4 linked regions of the Arabidopsis thaliana genome follow. The main gene of each other region encodes a partner of the protein of the gene in region 4 in a complex. Each region holds a gene or a part of one and is shown on either strand. Other genes may lie near its edges. The genes, in order: AT5G02850, AT1G15770, AT5G63480 and MED31.

Region 1 (5,213 bases), 6.1 Mb from region 4:
TGGTAATGGTTCGTTACTTCCACATATTACATTGCTCTTTTGTGTGTGTGAAAGGCTTCTCTCTCTTTTAGAAAAAAGAATCTTACTTTGTCCTGACAATTTTCTCGTGTCCTTAGGTTTGATCGTGACTGGAAAAAGATAGAAGATTTTGTTGGTTCAAAGACAGTTATTCAGGTTTGAGATCAGCTTCTTTGGATTTTTGGTTTAATATACAACCTTGGCACATTTCCCCACTCAATCATCCTGTGCCTGTTTGATTTACTGCAGATCAGGAGCCATGCCCAAAAATACTTTCTAAAGGTCCAAAAAAATGGGACTTTAGCACATGTTCCACCCCCTAGGCCTAAGCGCAAAGCTGCTCATCCATATCCTCAAAAGGCATCGAAAAATGGTTAGTTCTATTGTAATAGATATTACTTTGGGTTGACAGATGGAGTAACATGTAATCAATCTGATTTCAACTCAAATCTGCAGCTCAAATGTCGCTTCACGTTTCCATGTCCTTTCCTACTCAAATAAATAACCTGCCTGGATATACTCCATGGGATGATGATACATCTGCATTGTTAAACATTGCTGTAAGTGGGGTTATTCCACCAGAAGATGAACTTGATACTCTTTGTGGAGCAGAAGGCATGCGTTCTCATCTGTACTCAGTTTTTATATTTTGCTTTGGTAGTCTAGTCACTCTATCTTCTGAAGTTTTCATATGCTAAATGCGGCTTACATATCATTGTTTCAGTTGATGTTGGATCAAATGACATGATAAGTGAAACTAGTCCTTCAGCATCTGGTATCGGAAGCTCAAGCAGAACACTATCAGATTCTAAGGGTTTGAGACTGGCGAAACAAGCTCCCTCAATGCATGGTAATTATCTGAACAATTGAGGGACTATTTCTTAGTTTTCATTTTGTGGTGGACGCTGTTGTAATGGTTGCTTTGCAGGTCTTCCTGATTTTGCTGAGGTTTATAACTTCATTGGGAGTGTGTTCGATCCTGACAGCAAAGGCCGCATGAAAAAGCTCAAGGAAATGGATCCTATAAATTTCGAAACTGTGAGTTGGAGCTTTACTTGCCTTTAGATTAACTGATATGTGTGTTGCAGCATATCAATCATTTAGTCTTCTTCTTTGAGTTCCCGAATAAATTCAGCTGTGTGAGAAGATAAATATAAAGATCAGTACTTGCAATATATAGATTCACGAGTTGGAAACACCAAAAAGCCAAAGTACCATGATTCTATGGAGATGTTGGTCAAATAATGGGATTGTTACAACCATGAGTCAGTTTTAGGTGTCATGGTACCTATTTGTAGCTGTCAGTGATTGTTCTTTTTCCTAGTATCCGTCACTAATCACAGTTTTTCTTGCAGGTTTTGCTGTTGATGAGAAACCTCACAGTGAACTTGTCAAACCCTGACTTTGAACCTACTGTAAGTTATAATTTTATCATTACTTCTGTGCTCGTTGAGTATGTGAGGCACATTTGTCTTTTCGTGATAAGAATGAGTGAGAAAAAGTCTCTAACAGCTAACAAACCTACTTACTATCTGCCTTGAAGTTTAACTATAGAAATTAAGACTAGTTCGCCTTTAGTGTGTTATGTTTTTAACCGTTCCAATGATTAAATGAGGATTGTTGTGCTCTATGAGATATAATCTAACCATAATTTAGTCTGAATATGTTGATGCTGCAGAGGAAGGTCATGAACACTTAAGCTCTTAGCTGTTTGTGCACTCAACAAGTTATATATCTTCTTGACGACTTCTTGCTCGCAACAACTCTCTACCAGCTATCAAGTAAGTTTGGTGTTATACCGCATCCCTCCGACACCAATATAAAACACTATAATAAGAACGTTCGCATTGACTTAATAGATTATATCGAAACCTAACACCACAGTTCACTAAGGTTTTCACCTTAATGTTTCTCATTTGTTACTGTAGTTATTGTCTCACATGATCGAACGTCATAATAAGAATGATCTGTAGATCATAACTGTTATATTCTCAGCGTTGCTGCTATTATTCTGATTACACTACCCTTAAGGTCTTAAGAATATTGCTCTTACGGTCTACCAAATTGCTATTGATCTCTGTATATGGTGGATTGTGTCAGATGCATTCTACGGTTGTTGTCTGAGGAGAACATAACTGAGTCGTCGTCACAAACAAGAGGAACATATGCAGTTTCGGTCAGAACCAGTCGTGTGAATGGTAGATATATGTATGTGTGTGTAGAAAATGGTTACCAATTGTATCTTCTTTTTGATAATTATTTTTTCATGCCTTTTGTAATATGTAAGTTTCTTTACCTCGTTCTCTGATTGGTTATTTTCTGGTTATCTGTTTAACCAAAAGCTATGTAACACAGTAGCAAATTGTTACTTAACTCGGAAGTGAGATACATAACTCTGTTGTATTGCACTTGTATCAAGCGTTAACGTCCATGATTCGTCTCTGTTATTGTCAATAACAATTGTTCGAAAGCCAGGTTAATGGTAATTAGGAAATTGAACCGTATCGGTATGGTTTTAGCGGGTCTTTAGACTTTTCTAATTGATACTGAGGGTTTGCGAATTTTGTATAAACAGTTGAACACTAAACAGAGAAGAGAAGCTTCGTCTCTTTAATTATCTTCGATTTAAGAGATTCTTTCGCCGTCGGCGAAGATGCTACAGCATCAGATCGTACAATCTCCGGCGAGATTAGGGTTAACAGGTCCTGGCTCTCCTTCCGTACAAAATCCGACGCCTACTCGTCATGGCCATCCAACCTCTTCTTCATCTTCCCAATCTCAGCACCAACAGATCCAACAACAGCCTAATCTACTTCCTTCCTCCACCGTCGCCGCCGCTTCCTCAGCCTCAGCTTCGGCGGCTGTTTCATCCTCCGCCTTGCTATCGCTCCTTCCTCCATTACCGCGAGCTCAAGCTCTTCTCCAGCAGATGGCGGTTTTGACATCTAAGCTCTTCGACGTCTCTCCCAATCGAGCTATCTGGCTCTCAGCTTTCCGTGGCTCTCTCCCTTCGTTCCTCTCCTCACACTCGTTACCACCTCCGCCGCCGCTTGAAAACCCTAGTCCTTCATCCACGAAGGAGATCCTCTCTCAATTCAATTCCCTCCAGACTCAGCTCTTCGAAGCCGTTACAGAGCTTCAAGAGATCCTCGATCTGCAAGACGCGAAGCAGAAGGTGGCGCGTGAGATCAAATCCAAAGATTCATCTCTTCTCGCTTTCGCTAACAAACTCAAGGATGCAGAACGTGTTCTCGATATGCTTGTTGACGACTACTCCGATTACCGCAAACCAAAACGAAGCAAAATTGAAGAAGATGACGAAGACAATGATAATGAGTCTTCTTCTTCTTCAACCACAGTTTCGTCTCAGCTCAAGTTAAAGGACATATTAGCTTACGCTCACAAGATTAGCTACACCACATTTGCTCCGCCGGAATTCGGTGCAGGGCAAGCACCTCTCCGTGGTGCATTACCACCAGCTCCACAAGACGAACAAATGAGAGCTTCCCAGCTCTACACTTTCGCTGATCTTGATATCGGTCTGCCGAAAACAGTAGAAAACATGGAGAAGAAGGTTGAAGCACTGATTGAGCCACCACCACCACCAGAAGCTATGGATATATCTGCTATTCACAACCTGCTTCCGCCGAATATCGCAGTTCCTTCAGGATGGAAACCAGGAATGCCAGTCGAATTGCCTAGAGATTTACCATTGCCACCTCCTGGATGGAAACCAGGCGACCCAGTTGTGTTACCGCCACTGGAGTCAATTGCTGCACCTAGAGCAGAGGATCATCAACATATGAGACCTTCTCAGGGACTCCACAGACCGCCTGATGTCATACAGGTCCGAGCTGTTCAACTTGACATTTTGGAGGATGATGATAGCAGTGATTACAGCAGCGATGATGCAAGCTCAGATGATGAGGATTAATCAACATTGTGATTGATGGTTCTCTGTAAGGTAATGATTTGACCAATGTTACTGCTAATTCTTGATCAAGTTTGATTTTCTACTTGGTTTCGTTTTGTTTAGCAGTGCCTTTATGTGGATAGATGTTAGTATATGCTTCATCGTTATCAGTATCTTTGATGTATCAAAGTTGTTTCTTACGAAAACCCTGGATTCTAATTCAGTTTACAGAATTATTGGTTATCTTTTTTCCAGAATCATTCTTTAGCTTCAAATTTCAAATTATTAGTAAAATTCAGAATGTTCAACTATTGGAGTTATGCAACTTGACATTTTGGATCGATCTCTCTATACGACAAAGTAAAATCCCTCTTAGGTCATACATACATATCAGAGGCTCTTTCTGCCCATTTCTTTATTGTACAGTTTATTGTTCCATTTGGGCTTCTAATAATATAATGGGTTGACAAAATAAGTAGTAGCCCATTTAGATCTAACCTGTTGAATCTGGACTAGCCACGTGGTCGAATATAATTGTAGGGAAATAAAACTAAAATTGTGTTCTTGGAACAAAAAAATATAATAAAAAAAATCTGACAAAAATATCCATTCATTTCTCTTCTTCTTTCACTCTCGGTTGCCTCCTGGTTCTTTTCTAGTTTCTACTACTACTACTACCTCTAATGGCGGACAAGCTAGCTCTTCCTCTTCTCCTTCCCTGCACTCCTTCCTCTAAACCTTATTCTCACGACCAAAACCACCATATCTCTCGGACGCCTTTTCTTACTACGTCTCTTTCGTCACCACCTCCTCCGCCTGTAGAGCCTCTCCTCCACGATGTTTTCCTTCACCAGAACCCTAATTCCAGACAACCCATCAGCTCTCAAACATCTAGAAACCGTAACCGGACTCGAATTGGCAAGTCACGTGACCCTAACCTCGGTAAACCTTGGTCTTACCATGGTCTTTCTCCACAAGGTCAGCAAGTTCTTCGTTCCCTCATCGAACCCAATTTTGATTCCGGTCAATTAGATTCTGTACTCTCTGAGCTATTCGAGCCTTTTAAGGATAAACCAGAGTCTACCTCGTCGGAGTTACTAGCTTTTCTTAAAGGATTAGGATTTCATAAGAAATTCGATTTGGCTCTGCGTGCTTTTGATTGGTTTATGAAGCAAAAGGATTATCAATCCATGTTGGATAACTCTGTTGTTGCTATAATCATCAGTATGCTAGGTAAAGAAGGCAGAGTATCTTCCGCTGCAAATATGTTCAATGGTTTGCA
Region 2 (4,895 bases), on a different chromosome or scaffold from region 4:
AAACTTCTACGATACAGTTAAAATCTTCACAAGAATCATCTACTAGAAACCCTTTATTAGAAACTGCGTTATCTTCTTACCGTAACACGGTCTGGTTTCTTGAACAGCAAAGAAAACGAGGACCTGTCGTCCAAAGCTATGGCAAGGTTCAACATATTGCTAAGAAGTTTGTCACAGCCGATGTCGCTCAAAGACATAGCCAAGACATGGGACGCCTGTGCTCGGGCAGTGATCTGTGAGTACGCACAGCAATTTGGCGGTGGAACTTTCAGCTCAAAATACGGCACTTGGGAGAAATATGTAGCAGCTTCCTGAATCTGACGGATCTCTCTCGTCTTCAATAGCAGCTCTGTGATTCACTTGCAGGTTCATGTCAAAACTAAAGAAAAAAAGCCAAAAAGTTTTTTCCTCACTTTTTGTTGTATAGTATAAGTTGTTTTCCCACACACGTGATTGGGATTTTTTGTTATCTGTTTGCAAAAGCTTATGCTATATTATTGAATATATTTAAATAATATTATTTTAACTTTATTGTATGTATTTTGTGAATCTTGTTAGTATATTCGTCATTTTCTTCTAATTCTGAAGTGCAATTACCCCTTTTTTGGGGTCTTGCTGAATGTTGTATTTTGAGATTTGTTGTAATACGCATTTTGAGATCGTTCAGAAGAGTTTCAACTTCTTTACTCTGTTCAGTTGTCACAATAAAATGGCTGTTTGAAACATTTTTTTTTTTTTGTATATACCAAATGGCTAACTTTTTTATTGTAATTATTGATGATTTATCATCATAAAGTCATCAAGTTAGAAGATACAAGGAGTGATCAGTGTGGTGTGTAATTGTCTATACAAATTAGTACATGAACGAGATTTATTTAGTTAATGACTATAATTAACATTTTGGTCACACAAATAGCCGGAGATTTCACTGGTTTTTCTACAAGTCTCTTTACTCGATTTTTAGCCTTTACTGTGTGAAATAGAAAACTTAAAAAAACTCCAAAAAACTTATTATTTGCAGAAGAGACTTGGGCCTGATAAGTACTTATTATTGGGTCATTGGGCCTCGCTTAATAACCTGATATTGTAATGTTGTTGAAGCCTTTTAATCCTTGTATTTAGCTCTCTCTTGTTTGTTTCTCTATAAAATCAAAAGATGATTAAAACAAAAACAATCATCTCTAATTCTTCTCCTTAACCCTAATTGCTACGTTTCACTTATTAAAAGAAAGATTGAAACGTAAGAACGTTTGGAGAAAAACCAAATCCAAACGGACCGTTCTAAGTCTCGGAGATTCATCGCCAAAAGGTCCTTATTTTGAGTCACCTATCTCATTACGTGTCATAGTAAACCCATGGATTCGTCGATAGCAAAACCTTTTGCATAAGAAACTAGTTTTATGGATTGATGATACTTGTGTACCTCTAATTTTAGGTTTTTGTATTTTTTTTTACACAGTTTCTGATGATGAATGAATCTCGCTTTTTAATTATTTTTCTTGGCTAGCAACACTAGATAGTAGATACAATGGAAAATGAAAATGGAGATGATTGGCGGGAGGAGGTTTTCCAAAAGGTAACTCATAAGTCATAATCATCATAATAATAAAACTCCTTTCTTAAATCATCATCGGGATCATTCATTGTGGTGTGTAATTGTTTATACAGCTTAGATCCATGAGAGAGCGTTATCTACCACATGTGACTGATGTTTACCAGAGACTTGCAGACAAGTTGAACCATGTAAGATGTAGTTACTGTCAACTATTAACTCTCTGCCTTAAGTTGTATAGATGTAGTAATACTAGTTTGTTTGTTTTTTTCAGGAGGAATCGCTTCCGCAGCAACAAAGATCAAAGCACTTTGACAAGTTCCAAAGCATGAAGACAAACATAGAGCAATTGATCCAAGTCCTATCTCTTCGAAAGAGAAATATCATGCCGATATTAAAGGATTGTAGATGGGACTATTATGAGAAACGGATTATATATTTCTTAATTACGCTAAGAACCGGCTGGGAAGACAGTACAGCAAAGGCAGCTTCAAGATCAGTCTCATAATAATCAAGGAAATGCATTGTAGATATTTTGTCTCTCTCTCTTTTTATGTTGGTCTTCTCTCTTCTGATGTGTTTTGAACTCTCATCCTCAATGTTGTTGACTCCGGTGCTCTGTTTCTACCAGGCTCCTCCTATCAAGTTATGATCGAAAAATGAATAAAGACCCTTTTTTTTTTTGTAAATGTTAATTTCTCGGAGATTAGGTGTGTTTTTGGTGGGTGCTTTAGTGTTCCGTCAACTAGTAGGGTAGGGTTTGGTTTCTTATTGAATTCATGCAGAATTCTTTTACCCATCAACAGAGATTAAAGCAATTTGAGAGATTGAAGGCAATGTTGGAGCGAAGAATGATACAATTCCTATCTGTTTCAAAGAAGCAATGTCATGCCTTACTTGAAAGATTACTACGACAACCAGATTATTCCTTTGTTACTAGCAGGATCATCTCTCTGTTACTAGATGATATCACCATGATGAGTAATCGTATGTATGATTATATTGCTTTTCTTTGTAGATCAAATCCATCAAAGAGACCTCAATGAAATCTACCAGAGAGTAGCAGCCAAGTTGCAGCAAGTAAGTTACAGTTTTCATTCTTCCTAGGAAGTTAGTTTGCACGTGTACGTCCTCTGGAACAGTACTAAGTACTTTATGAAGAGTTTTACAAATTCAATGCAAGATCAGTTCATTGTTACAAATGAAAGTCCTACAACTTAGGATTCTTGTTACCCATTTAACAAAGTAAAAGGTTCGTCAGACTCTTATACTTACAGATAGTTCACTAGAAGTTAACCTTCTGACAGATATATTCCTTCCCAAACCTACAGAGGTTGTAAACTTTTAACGTTCATCTATATGTTTGTTTCTTTTCTACTGAATACGTTCCGTTTTCTCTCTAGGAGGATTCTCTTTCGCATCAGAAACAAAGATCAGATCAGTTTGAGAAATTGAAACGAGGCAAGACAGTGTTGGAGGGAATGCTACGTTTCCTATCTCTTTCAAAGAGCAATATCAAACCTGACTTGAAGGATAGTATGGATTATCGCAAGAACAACATTATGAATTTCTTAAATATGCAGAGTCTGAGGAAGACAGTACAGAAACTGCAGCTTACGAAATCTGAGATTCAGCCTATGCAGCAACCACTATCTCAGACAGTTCAAGATCAGTCTCATGATGACCAAACAACTCTGCAGATGCAATCAATGAGCATGCAGGGTGCTGGGTCAAGGGTACAACAGATCAGGCAAGGTGTACTTCAATCCCTTGAAATTGGCACTCCAGGGATCTCTGCCTCTCCTCTCCTTCCGGAGCTTACCAGTCCTGATGGAAATATTATAAATCCTTTGACAAGTACTTGTGGAAAATCGAGTGCTACTGAGCTGCCTATTGAACGCCTTATTAGAGCCGTAAGTAACGTTACTAATTTTGAAGGGTATATTGCAACAGGGCAGTGTCATTGCTGCCATCCCTCATTTGCCGTGGAAACATTGTTCTGATCTTGATGTTTGCTTTCTGTTGTTTTCAGATGAAATCCATCTCACCACAAGCGCTTTCGTCTGCAGTATGTGATATTAGATCTGTTGTAAGCATGGTTGATAGGATTGCTGGTTCAGTACCAGGCAAAGGTTCAAGAGCTTCATTTGGTGTGGACTTGGTTGCAATGACTAAGTGCCATCTCCAAGAAAGAAACTTCATGACGCAAGATGGCGACCATGAAAAGGAAGCGTCAGACAACCCCAATGCCATCAAGTGTTGCTTCATTGGGAGGAAAGCGTTGGTAATAGCTACAAGCATTTTGCTGGTTTGGTAACATCAGATATGGAATCTACTGTGACTTGTGGTGGCAAGAAGCCAAGAACTGAGGTATGGTTTTCAGTTACACTTCCCTTAGGTATATCTGAAAATTGACACACACACAACAGATAAAATTTGGAAGCACAATGTTTTGTGTGCTCTAGTGTAGACTGTGTAGTGTCCTGAGCTCAAGATCTTTCCGATTACCTCAAGAGTAAGATCACTCCGGCAGGCTTAGCGTCATGGTTATGTGTGTAAACAGAGCATTTTTTGAGAAAAGAGTAAAAAGTGATAAAAGCTGTAAAGAAGTTTTGACTGGAACAGAGACTTAGGCCAAAAGCAAAGACTGGAGAGACAGACTCATTACAATGACCCCACACACTCACATACACACCTGACACCACCACTCAACTCTATTTTCCAATTGTTAACTAACAAAAATTAACTAGCCTAATCACATACAAAGACAAAATCAAGAAAACATGGTGGAAGAACCCTAAAACCTCATCTCTCACCATCAATTCTGATATAAAGAACGAAGAAGAAGCTGAAAGAGAAAACATAAAACAGAACTTAGAGATTTTTCTAAGTAGGTTTGAGATTCTGAAACATTGAATCCCATTTGATATCTTCAAAATAAGTATCTTGAGCGTAAAGTTTCTCATCCTTGAAACTGTAATCGAAAACCATGGGACTTGAGAAGCTATCGATTCTACAAGGAGTCCCATTGGTCAACAACAACCTCTCTTGCTTCTCCAATCCACCATTTCCATTGCTCGGCATCACAGATCTCTTGTTCCTCTTCAGGAATCCACCTCTCCACTTCCCAATCCCGTTGCTAGTCTTCTTCGGCACCAACACCAGAGCTCGAGACGACGCCGACTCTTCTTCACGGCGGATCCAGGCGCGTACGTGATCGGATAAACATTTCCTGGTTTTCTTAATCGCAGTCACGACTCTGGAGATGGAACGAGAGGTGAGAGGAGGAGAGTTCTTGCGATCTCGACGAGCGAGTTTGAGAATCTCGAGACGGTGTTTGGCG
Region 3 (4,577 bases), about 19 Mb from region 4:
AGTAAGAAGTTATTATAAGAGACAGAGAACTCAAAGCTACTACAAGCCATGAAATACAAACTCAATATGCCATACATAAGCTCTGATCATTACTAGATTAGGAGCAAGAATCAACAAAAATACAAAGCATAGATTAGAATCTGCACATTTAGATTAATATATAGTTAAGCAAGTCTGCAGTTTTGCTGCAATAACTTATAAGTTAACAGGAAAAATGAAAAAGAGCTTTTTTGTTTTGTTTTGTTTGATCTCTCTCTCTCTCTCGAGTAAGTCATTCGAATCATAGACATATAAGAATCAGACACTTGCAGGGTCGAAATGATGATTAAATCTCTAAGCTTCTGGTTCCATAGCTCAACTGCACAACATTGTACAAATAATCAAAGGTGTGAGTCAAATCAAATAATGGATATCAAAATTGTGTATTTTACAAAGTTTTGTTTATGAATCTAAAGAAATGAGCCAGATGATACTGTAAATTGAGCTTCTTTGATATTATCAATTTTTAGCTTATTTGATGAGAATCAATGAAGATGACACAGAGCAGCAAATTCCTCTAAGACTAATCAAAGCAAGCTCATGAAGAATCTCAATAACCATAGATAATCAATTGCAACAAGCTACATTGCTGAATATTACTAGAATTCACTTACCCTTGGCTATCGAGATTACCATGGCCGCTACTTCCTCCACTTCCATAAGACACATCATCACCACCACCAGCTGAATTCTGCCAAACGCTTTGCCATGCCTGAGAAGGAGGCTGAGCATAAACACCGCTAGGATCCATCGCCGGTCTTCCAATCATCATCCCTCCAGGAACCGCCGGTTGTCCCATCGGTGGATAATAATAAGGAACACCGCTCGCGGCGGGAGCAACCATACCTCCTCCACCAAGAGCCGATGCTGCATCTTCCTCTTCCTTGATCTCTTCCCTAGGAACAATATCAACAAGGAAATCGAAGATATCGGTTCTAGTAATCGCAGCAGCGATATCGTTTTTCTGAAGCGTACGACGTTTGTTCTCTTCAGCGTGAAGCCAAGATCTAATCGTAAGTTCGAGAATGAAAAGCTCACAAGCTTTCGCGAAGAGAATCGGTGCTTCGGCGGAGATCATACGCACATCTTCATCAGCTTTCATGATTTTTTTGATACGAGCTAGAGGGAGCTGATGGTTTTTGAAATCGTTTACCTGTTCGATCTCTTGTCTCTGGTATGTCCAGAACATTTGAAGCTGTTGCTGTTGTTGCTGGAGGAGGTGGTGGTATGTCGCTCCTCCTCCGGTGACTATTGATGCAGATCCAGATGGTGGAGGAGGGATTACGGTTGTGACGGCGGAGCCAGGTGGATAGACGGAGGTTGGTGGTGGTTGCTGGTTGTTGTTGTTGTTGTTATTGTCCATTGGATCTTTGCCTTGTGATTGGATCAAAAGATCAAACTAACGTTTTAGATAGTTTTTGTCATATGGATTGGAGTAATAGTGGATAAGGTAGACAGCGATGTAGCTGATTTCTTTCTATTTTTATTTATCTATAAAAACTATATTATTGATATATATATTATATAGTTTGATTAAAACGACATCGTATTAATAGTTTAGTCAACCGACGCCGTGATAAAGTGTGTTCACGGTGATGCTGCAGAAACAGGTCTCGACGACGACGACGATGACGACACAGGAGCTAGCGATGGAAGGAGAGAAGCAATTGGAAGAAACTATTGAAGCGGCGTTTCAGATAATTTCAGCCATGAATGATGAGCTTTGTAATCCGTCTTTGTGGTCTACTTCAGCTACCCCGAGTTCCGCCGCGACGACGACGGGTTCTAATGGTTCGGCTCTCGTTTCCGCCGATGCGGCTGCGATTGATGGAACATCGCATCATTCGGAATCTGCTGGTGGTGGCGGGGGCGGAGGAAGTGGAAATAGTGTTTTGGATGAGGCGAGTCTTCGGTATAAGAACTCAGTGACTTCGCTTCGTGCTGTTCTTGCTGCGATTCCAAATTCGCAGAAGGTATTGAACATAATGTGATGTTACTAACTATTTCGAGAAGTGTTTTGTTCTGAGTTGTTTCTGGACTGAGGAAATTTTGAATTCCTAGGGTGTTTTGAGATCTTAGATTAGGAAATCTTCGAATCGATAGAGAGTTTAGATGAAGGATCTAATGCTTGTTGAGTGTCTTGTTCTTCACTTGTAGTGAACTTGCTTAATTTTAAATGAGAGCTTTTTTGAGGTTTCATAAATTTGAATTTGTTCATCTATTACAGGCAAAAGCATCTGAAATGCAAAATGGTTTAGGATCTCCTGAAAGTGAAGACGAGATCGAAAAATTGGAGGAGCAAGCCTTAAGTCTCAGAATGGTAAAGCTTTCTGCAATTTCTACATCTCTTTGTTTTCAATCTGATGTTACTACATTGATACACTATTCAGTCTCGAATTCTCTGTACATTTCAACTCACATAGCATTGAATTTGATTCATATTTTCTTGTATAAAGTGTTCTTTCCCACTGTCTAGTGTAAGTGTTTGTATCATTATAGCTTAAGCGGTTCTAGAACCATGGAAATGTTGATAATTTTTTGAATACATTTCAGCCATCTGGTCATTTTGATTTCTATGTTAATAACCTTATGGGAAGTGATTATATTGTTCTTCTCTGTTGGCATTAATAAACGGAAGCTTTTGTTCATGCAGGAGATTGCAAAGAAGAATGTTCATGTTAAAGAACTTATAGATAAACTTCGGGAACTTATAGCAGATATCTCTACATGGCAAAGCCCTTGTTCTGTTTGAGTTTTATTTTTTTGACAATAGTGAGATCAGTTTAGACAAAGATTCTAAGCCTTGTTCTTGAATTACTCCATGTATTAGTTTTAGATATTTGTTATTTTGATATCATGAAGCCAAAAAAATAATCAAAAATGACTTTTGTATATAAAAATATTTCAGACAAAACCTTCAAACCCTGTGTCTGTTTTTCTTTTTTGTTTGTATTGATCTGTTAAAGAAACACTTCTTGTAGTGTTTCTGAGGAATCAATGACCGAATTTTCTGAGAAAAGCCATAAAACCAAGACCAGCTACTAATGCTGCACCAGCCGCAACTCCACTATAAGCAGCAGCCCAAGCGTCTGTCTCTACATACTCCATTGATTCTGCTGATCCTGATGCTCTTCTCCTTCTTCTTCCTTTGCCTTCTCTTGAATCATCCAAATGTAATCTCAGACTCTGCAATTTATAATGATCAAATCAATTCAGAAAGCAAAAGGGGTTTATGGGCAATCTCATGAAGGTTTCATCTTCGACTTTGGTTCTTGTTGCTTATCAACCAAAAGTTTAAAGCAGGAGGAAATCGTTCTTTTTACCTTCCAGCCAATTGATTTTGCATGCTCTATGGCTGCTTGAAGGTCACTATCTGAAGCCAACAACACTTTATCGTGGTCTTCATCTTCATACTGCACATTATAACCATCATTTTAACAATTCAGGGGGTGACAAGAGAAGAATTAGATAATGATTGCATCATAGTCTTTATGTAAAAGAAAATATTTACCAAAATTTGGGGGAAGTTATCTGGATCGATATCATCCCCTACCCTCTGAATGATCGCGGTTATCACCTCTGTCAAACTCCGAGTGTCTGCAAAAAGAACCAATTCAGTTAAGTAAAAGCAAGACTACAACTATTTACTTGATGAATAAAAATCAAAATTATTTTTACCGCTTATGAATCTGTGTTTCCTGTGCTTTTTGTCTTCAATTTTGAAAGAAAATGTATTTGCAAAAGGGAAAGATTTTCCTGTCTCAGCTTCGGAAGCAACCTTCATGGAGCTCTCACTGAAACAAATTGTTCCCCATGTTGTCAACAAAGTCAGCAAAACCAAAGCTTTCTTTGAAAAGAAACTCGATAAATAGTGGAACAAGTAAGACTAGCTAATAACCTTCTCGAGTCCTCATCGTCCTCATTAGGAGACAATGCCATAGCTGAATCCCAAAACTTTTGCATCATTGTGTTTGTCGCCTCATTACCTATTCCCGCAGTAGTTCCAGCCTGAACACATCAAAATAACTACAAGATTGAAACATGTATCTAGAAAAAAGAGAACAGTGGATGTTCTAAACGAAAAAATTTACAGACGGTTCAAGAGATGGGAGTTACTGTGGCAACAGCAGCGTGAGTGACATGGATTACATCGACAACAGCAACTACATCTCCTTCTGCAATCAGAAACCCATTTATGGTTTACATGCGTTTGCCTTTTTAGTTTTTGTAAGACTTTACAATTGAAAAGGTTTCAGAATTCTCACCTTTGTCAGTAACGGGAAGGTGTAAGAATTTTCCCTCGTGCATGATGTGTAGAGCTTCAACAATTGGTGTGTCAACTATCGTAGATTCTGGATTCTGAGTCATAACCTATGCATTAATGAATACGAACAAATGGTTAAATTCAGGAAAAAGGAGCAACTATCACTAAGCTGGAAATAAGAGTCTAAGATGGTTGAATAATACAAGACCCTGGAGACTAATCTTTTAATCTTACCGTTTCCACTAGAGTCTCAGATGGAGGAAGATTTTCAGCC
Region 4 (5,077 bases):
TTTGGTTTGGGCAGAAGAAAAATAAATTAAAGGCAAAGAGAACCTCTGTGTACGAACGGCAGAAGAGATGATGAGATTCTTTAAATAGAGGCGACGAAAAGATGCCAAGTCCTAATCAACGATGGAGATGCGACACGTTTAAACCGACGGCTGAGATTATGTTTATATTTAAAGGGTAGAGTCGGTTACGGTTTTCTTTGATATTATTATTATTATTAGTTAGAAATATTTTAAATCATAAACCTAATCACTTGATAATTTGGCAAAATATTATTCAACCTTTTTCTGCTAAAGTTAATTTAACTTTAATATCAAAATTCATATTTGGACGTTCTACTTTAGGTAACTATGTTTTTTGCCTCTTTTTTTCTCTTGATGATGGTATTTTAATTATAATTTTAGAGAAAAGTGGACTATTTCCAAAATTTGGTTTTGATTGCAATCACACATTAGCCCCAAAATTTGGACTATATTAACAAACCTCCCTATAATTAATCATTCAATGGAGAAGAATCTCAACATTTTAAGGTATCAAAGTCATTTCTAATCCATAAGTGTTCATGTTCTTCTTTTATTCATATCCTTGAGTTATGCTATTTTCTTCTCCTTTCTTGAACCGTGAGTTACGTTATACGAGTTTCATCACATATCAAGTTTCGTATACCATGGTCCATAGCACACTCTGTCATGTTTGGGTCTTCTAACTGTTGTCAAAGATACGTCAAAGAGTCATTTCGTACAATTTCCACCAACAAGTGCAACATGGAAACCCCACTCCTAATTAATGTTTTACCGGCAGAAGCAATCTCTGCCAAGGACAAATGTTTGGCATTCCCATAATTTTTCCTATTGCTTCTAAGCTTCTCAAAAAAAATAAAGTGTTGCAATTGTCAAGATCGATAGGAACAAAGATAAAGACTGATACTGATTGGGGGTTGTTGTATATCATAGACAAAGATTGAACACCATATATGACAACTTCCATAAACGGCCTATGACACGGAATGAGTAATACCGAGTTTCCAACATTTTTGTAACCTGAGTCAAGTAGGCTTCCCTCCTAGGACATGGAGGAAACCATATCTGACGACTGACGCCATGGTGTATGCTTCAGGGCAGGAAATGCTTATATACCCTTCCTGACATTATATGACTCACATATTAGAGTGTTGCTTTTTTTCGTAACACATTTGCAGTCATCTTAAAAACACACACAAAATGGTCATCATTATCAAGAAGAAGAAAGGAGCACATACTTTCTCTTCCTACGATCAATTCCAGTAGCACCCATATTCCTAGTGTCATTCTTAGAAAGCATATTATTGTACTGCATTGGAGAAAGGGCTGGAGAGAGAGCAGCAGTTGCAGATGGTGCAGGTGGCAAAGAAGTTGAAGGTGCAACTGGTGGTTGTGGAGGTACAGGCTCTGGAAGAGGCCGAGGTAGAATGTGCTTCAGTCTGTTGTTTCTGTAGTTCTTCCAATAGTAAAACTGTTGTCTATGCGCCAATTCCTGGAAAAATCCAGATTCAACCGAAGACAAAGTTCAAAACTTAAGAAAACTTCAACAACAATAGATTTCCTATAAGAAATTCTGACAAAGGACATAAAGTTTAGAATATTAAACAACTTTCTCTATCTCATGAATAGATGGGCATAAACGCAGAATCACAGAACCAAACTAGCAGAACGTAAGCAAGGTTTTGTACTAGAGAGACCCTAAACTCTACAAGTCCCCAAAACACATTCCAAAAACACCAGTACCCTAACATTTTGAACCACTCCCTATTCACAATGCTCACTAACATGCTGATTTCACTTGATGATTCATATCGTATTCTTGTACCTTGTTTGCAGGATGAGCCATAGCAGTCCTGAAGTTGGGGTTTTGAAGAAGTTCAAGGAAATATAGGCAGTGTGGGTACCTGTAACAAGAACATAGGAAACCAAAGATATATTATCCAAACCTTCACAAGACTCTACAAGACTACACCAATTCCATAAGATATTCCAACTTACATAATGAACTTGATGTACTCTGGTCGCTGCCAGTATTGAAGATACTTCAAGTATCCAATAAATGCTTCATCTTCAAAATACCGATTCTGTGCCAGGTCTGCCAAACAGTAACCAAAAGCAGAATGTGGTAAGTACAAACCCTAAGCCTTAGAACAAATCCCTTTTTAAATCTCAATTTCGAACACTAAAACCCTAAGCCATAGAACGAATTCTAAACTTACAGTGGATGTAAGTAGGATTGGCGAGACATTGAATAAATTCAAGTTCCAGTAAGAATCGTTGCCTTCCACCGTCGGGATCCTTGTAAGTGTTTTTTGGCCTGTAGAGATGCGAATTAGATAATAAAAGAGCAGATTTGAAGAATATGAAAGTGTACAAGAGGAAGAAGATGCACTCACGGGGATGGAATTTCTGATGCATCATCACCCATCTCCTCTGGCGAAGCCATGAACGAACGGAACCTGAAGCAAATTTGGATTCTCCCAATAGAGGAATCAGACGGAGGTAGACGGAGGATTTTGGTTCTGATTTCTGAATTGAATTTTGGTTATAAACCAAAGGCCTAAACCGGTTCTGAATGCAAATAGAAAAAGAGATTGGAAAATTAGTACAAAATTACGGTTTAAGAAGCGGTCTTTTTTTTTTTTTTTCCACAAGAAGCGGTCTTAAAAGAACCGTTATACTCGGTAGCAGATGGAGAAGTCTCTGCCCAAACTTGGAGTTACTTTACATTCAAAGATTCACTTGGTGGCATTTTTAGTCATGTTATGAATCTCTTTCTTACTTATCTCAAGATTATGAATCACAAGGACAAATCTTGAATTTTGAAACATGGACCGGAATCTTTATGCAATCATACAAAAGTTTTTTTGTGACCAATCGATATAGATGTTGCAACTCTTTGTCATGCTAACTATGGTTGAGGATTATAGCAGACAGAAAATCTGAGGACATTTGGCTCCAATGAGTTGGCCCTCAAAAATGTATACTGTACATTGTAATGTTGTAATCCCCGCAAAATGTGACAGCTAAAAAGCTAGAGTTTCCCACAGTTAAAAAAAAAAATCAAAAGACAAGAGCCATCAGACCCTGGACTGACCTATGCAACTCCCAAGACAGTTTTCGTATCCAGCCTGCGTGCTGTACTCAGTTCTTACTTGCCAATCAACACCTTGTGCCAACTTGCCAAGACAAGTTCTGTTTCAGAAGTTAATGGCCTTCAAATTCAGGTGATGGCTTTACAAGTTTTCACCATAGCTTGTGAATCCCAATTGCTAAATCTGATGAGATGGAGACGAGCAGCGGATAAGAAGAGTGCCACTCGGCTTTGAACACTCTTTTCTTATGAGCTTTCATCGAGAGAGACGGGCTCGGTGCATTGTATCGGATATCAAAGATGTGGATCACGGGGTCTGCAGAACCAGATGAGATGTGTAAACCATCTGGAGACCAAGACTGATTAATTAGAGCCGACTGCGATTCACTGCTTTCTTGCTTCCACCCAAAAGAAAATAGTTCTGTCTGAGGCAATCTAACATCATACAACCGCAGTTGCCGGTCTAGCTGCCTGCAAACACAACACAAGCAAAAGAACGGACTTTAAGGCAATCGCTTCTTCTGGGATATATATAAATCAAGAGTCAGTTTTACCTCGTGTTAACCATGACAAGATTAACATCTCGCGGGTTTGGCATTATATTTGTGCATCTGTTGTCTAGTCTATGTTTAAATGTGACTTTTTCTTCTCGGGCATCAAACCCAACAAATCTCCTATCGTCTCCACATGACAAGACGTGATTGTTATGGCGCATTCCAGTAACTCCCATCACAGCCGACGAATGCAAGTCCCTATGCAGAAGCGTCGGCTTCCACGCATTATTCTCACACTGATCCCGCCATAACACTACTGCATGGTCACTCCCACCTGTGATGAAGCAAGGATCATCCCAAGGCGTAAACATGATTCTGTTGATAAGACCTTTGCTATGAGGCCTGTCCTCCATAAATTGCGACTCACATCTCTGCAGATGAACAGATATCCAAAAAGAAATGAGCACATAACTAACTTCCCCAAGGATAAAAGACTATAACCATCAAGTTAGATCTTACAACTAGTAGATAAGTCAAGGGTCGAATCAAATTCCCAATTATTCCAGCTATATTGATTTTTTTCTTTCTAACAGGTTATGAAGACCAAGTTAACTTTCTACAAGTTTAAGCACACACTCCACTCATGAATGTCCAATCGCAAATTTAATATGGTAAAACGCTAGAATGTGCTACAGCATTCATATACTTTTACCTCTCCAGCTTCATTCAGATATATGGCTGATATCTGAGGGTGACCATCATCTGCAGTATACACGGAGAAAAGTGCATTCTTATGTGGATGCCAAGCTATATCTTCTGCCCATTTCTTCTGATCTACTGCTACCCGATTAACCGTCTTAAACAAAGTAGCGGTGGACCTGCTCAATGGTGAAAGCATGATGGATAGGTTAGTATCCAACGAAATTCAGATTAAAATGTTCACGAAAATAAGAGTAGAAAAAATTGTACAAAACTCTATCTCTTAAGATCATGTACAACTAAACGTTGCAGCTTGTTGACAAATATAAGTGAAACTAAATTTCGCCTACTTATCACGTGGATGGATGAAGGTGATGTCAACTGGAACTAGAAATACATAATTAAAATTTCTGATACATATGAAAATCAAGGAATTCTATATGGATTTGAAGTTGAATAATCCAATAACCCCTCCTAAAACCATTTAAACCCCCAAGAAATCAGAAAGAAATATCATAATCAGTAGATCAGGCATATTTACAGGAGACTTACCTATCAGACTGAAGCTTCCAGAAATGAACAGCCCCATCCAATGCACTGAAGCATAACCAAAAACCAAAATCAAGAGAGGGAAAAGAAAAAGATTAAGCACATGAGTCGAGAGTATATTAGGTTAGCTAATTGACCAATGACTTTCTTGGTTCCATGATTCCCTCTTATGCATATAATATCATTTCCTTAGTAAAAAATCCAGACAAAGCCCCAAGCGACA

The links.
Region 1: MED31 (region 4) and AT5G02850 share a complex: the UniProt entries of both Arabidopsis thaliana proteins name them as parts of the mediator complex.
Region 2: MED31 (region 4) and AT1G15770 share a complex: the UniProt entries of both Arabidopsis thaliana proteins name them as parts of the mediator complex.
Region 3: MED31 (region 4) and AT5G63480 share a complex: the UniProt entries of both Arabidopsis thaliana proteins name them as parts of the mediator complex.

The regions. Positions count from the first base shown.
Region 1 is NC_003076.8:649,488-654,700, forward strand, and holds AT5G02850 (hydroxyproline-rich glycoprotein family protein), read left to right. Parts: upstream 1-2,560; 5' UTR 2,561-2,671; coding exon 2,672-3,952; 3' UTR 3,953-4,276; downstream 4,277-5,213. Other genes in the region: LCL1 (LHY/CCA1-like 1), read left to right, coding at 117-174, 268-391, 475-633, 743-868, 947-1,056, 1,374-1,433, 1,675-1,725; AT5G02860 (Pentatricopeptide repeat (PPR) superfamily protein), read left to right, coding at 4,615-5,213. UniProt on the Arabidopsis thaliana protein: Component of the Mediator complex, a coactivator involved in the regulated transcription of nearly all RNA polymerase II-dependent genes.
Region 2 is NC_003070.9:5,425,866-5,430,760, reverse strand, and holds AT1G15770 (mediator of RNA polymerase II transcription subunit), read left to right. Parts: upstream 1-2,480; 5' UTR 2,481-2,545; coding exon 2,546-2,632; intron 2,633-2,955; coding exon 2,956-3,465; intron 3,466-3,584; coding exon 3,585-3,869; 3' UTR 3,870-4,053; downstream 4,054-4,895. Other genes in the region: NRB4 (mediator of RNA polymerase II transcription subunit 15a-like protein), read left to right, coding at 1-239; AT1G15772 (mediator of RNA polymerase II transcription subunit), read left to right, coding at 1,529-1,576, 1,669-1,743, 1,827-2,060; AT1G15760 (Sterile alpha motif (SAM) domain-containing protein), read right to left, coding at 4,439-4,895. UniProt on the Arabidopsis thaliana protein: Component of the Mediator complex, a coactivator involved in the regulated transcription of nearly all RNA polymerase II-dependent genes.
Region 3 is NC_003076.8:25,415,683-25,420,259, forward strand, and holds AT5G63480 (mediator of RNA polymerase II transcription subunit), read left to right. Parts: upstream 1-1,566; 5' UTR 1,567-1,634; coding exon 1,635-2,012; intron 2,013-2,266; coding exon 2,267-2,359; intron 2,360-2,692; coding exon 2,693-2,791; 3' UTR 2,792-2,953; downstream 2,954-4,577. Other genes in the region: NF-YC4 (nuclear factor Y, subunit C4), read right to left, coding at 650-1,402; AT5G63490 (CBS / octicosapeptide/Phox/Bemp1 (PB1) domains-containing protein), read right to left, coding at 3,034-3,225, 3,363-3,452, 3,551-3,636, 3,718-3,833, 3,938-4,047, 4,156-4,214, 4,305-4,410, 4,538-4,577. UniProt on the Arabidopsis thaliana protein: Component of the Mediator complex, a coactivator involved in the regulated transcription of nearly all RNA polymerase II-dependent genes.
Region 4 is NC_003076.8:6,730,358-6,735,434, forward strand, and holds MED31 (SOH1 family protein), read right to left. Parts: upstream 2,634-5,077; 5' UTR 2,465-2,633; coding exon 2,415-2,464; intron 2,336-2,414; coding exon 2,238-2,335; intron 2,114-2,237; coding exon 2,017-2,113; intron 1,923-2,016; coding exon 1,844-1,922; intron 1,779-1,843; coding exon 1,689-1,778; intron 1,511-1,688; coding exon 1,257-1,510; intron 1,140-1,256; coding exon 1,127-1,139; 3' UTR 879-1,126; downstream 1-878. Other genes in the region: AT5G19920 (Transducin/WD40 repeat-like superfamily protein), read right to left, coding at 3,265-3,583, 3,667-4,037, 4,319-4,484, 4,858-4,902. UniProt on the Arabidopsis thaliana protein: Component of the Mediator complex, a coactivator involved in the regulated transcription of nearly all RNA polymerase II-dependent genes.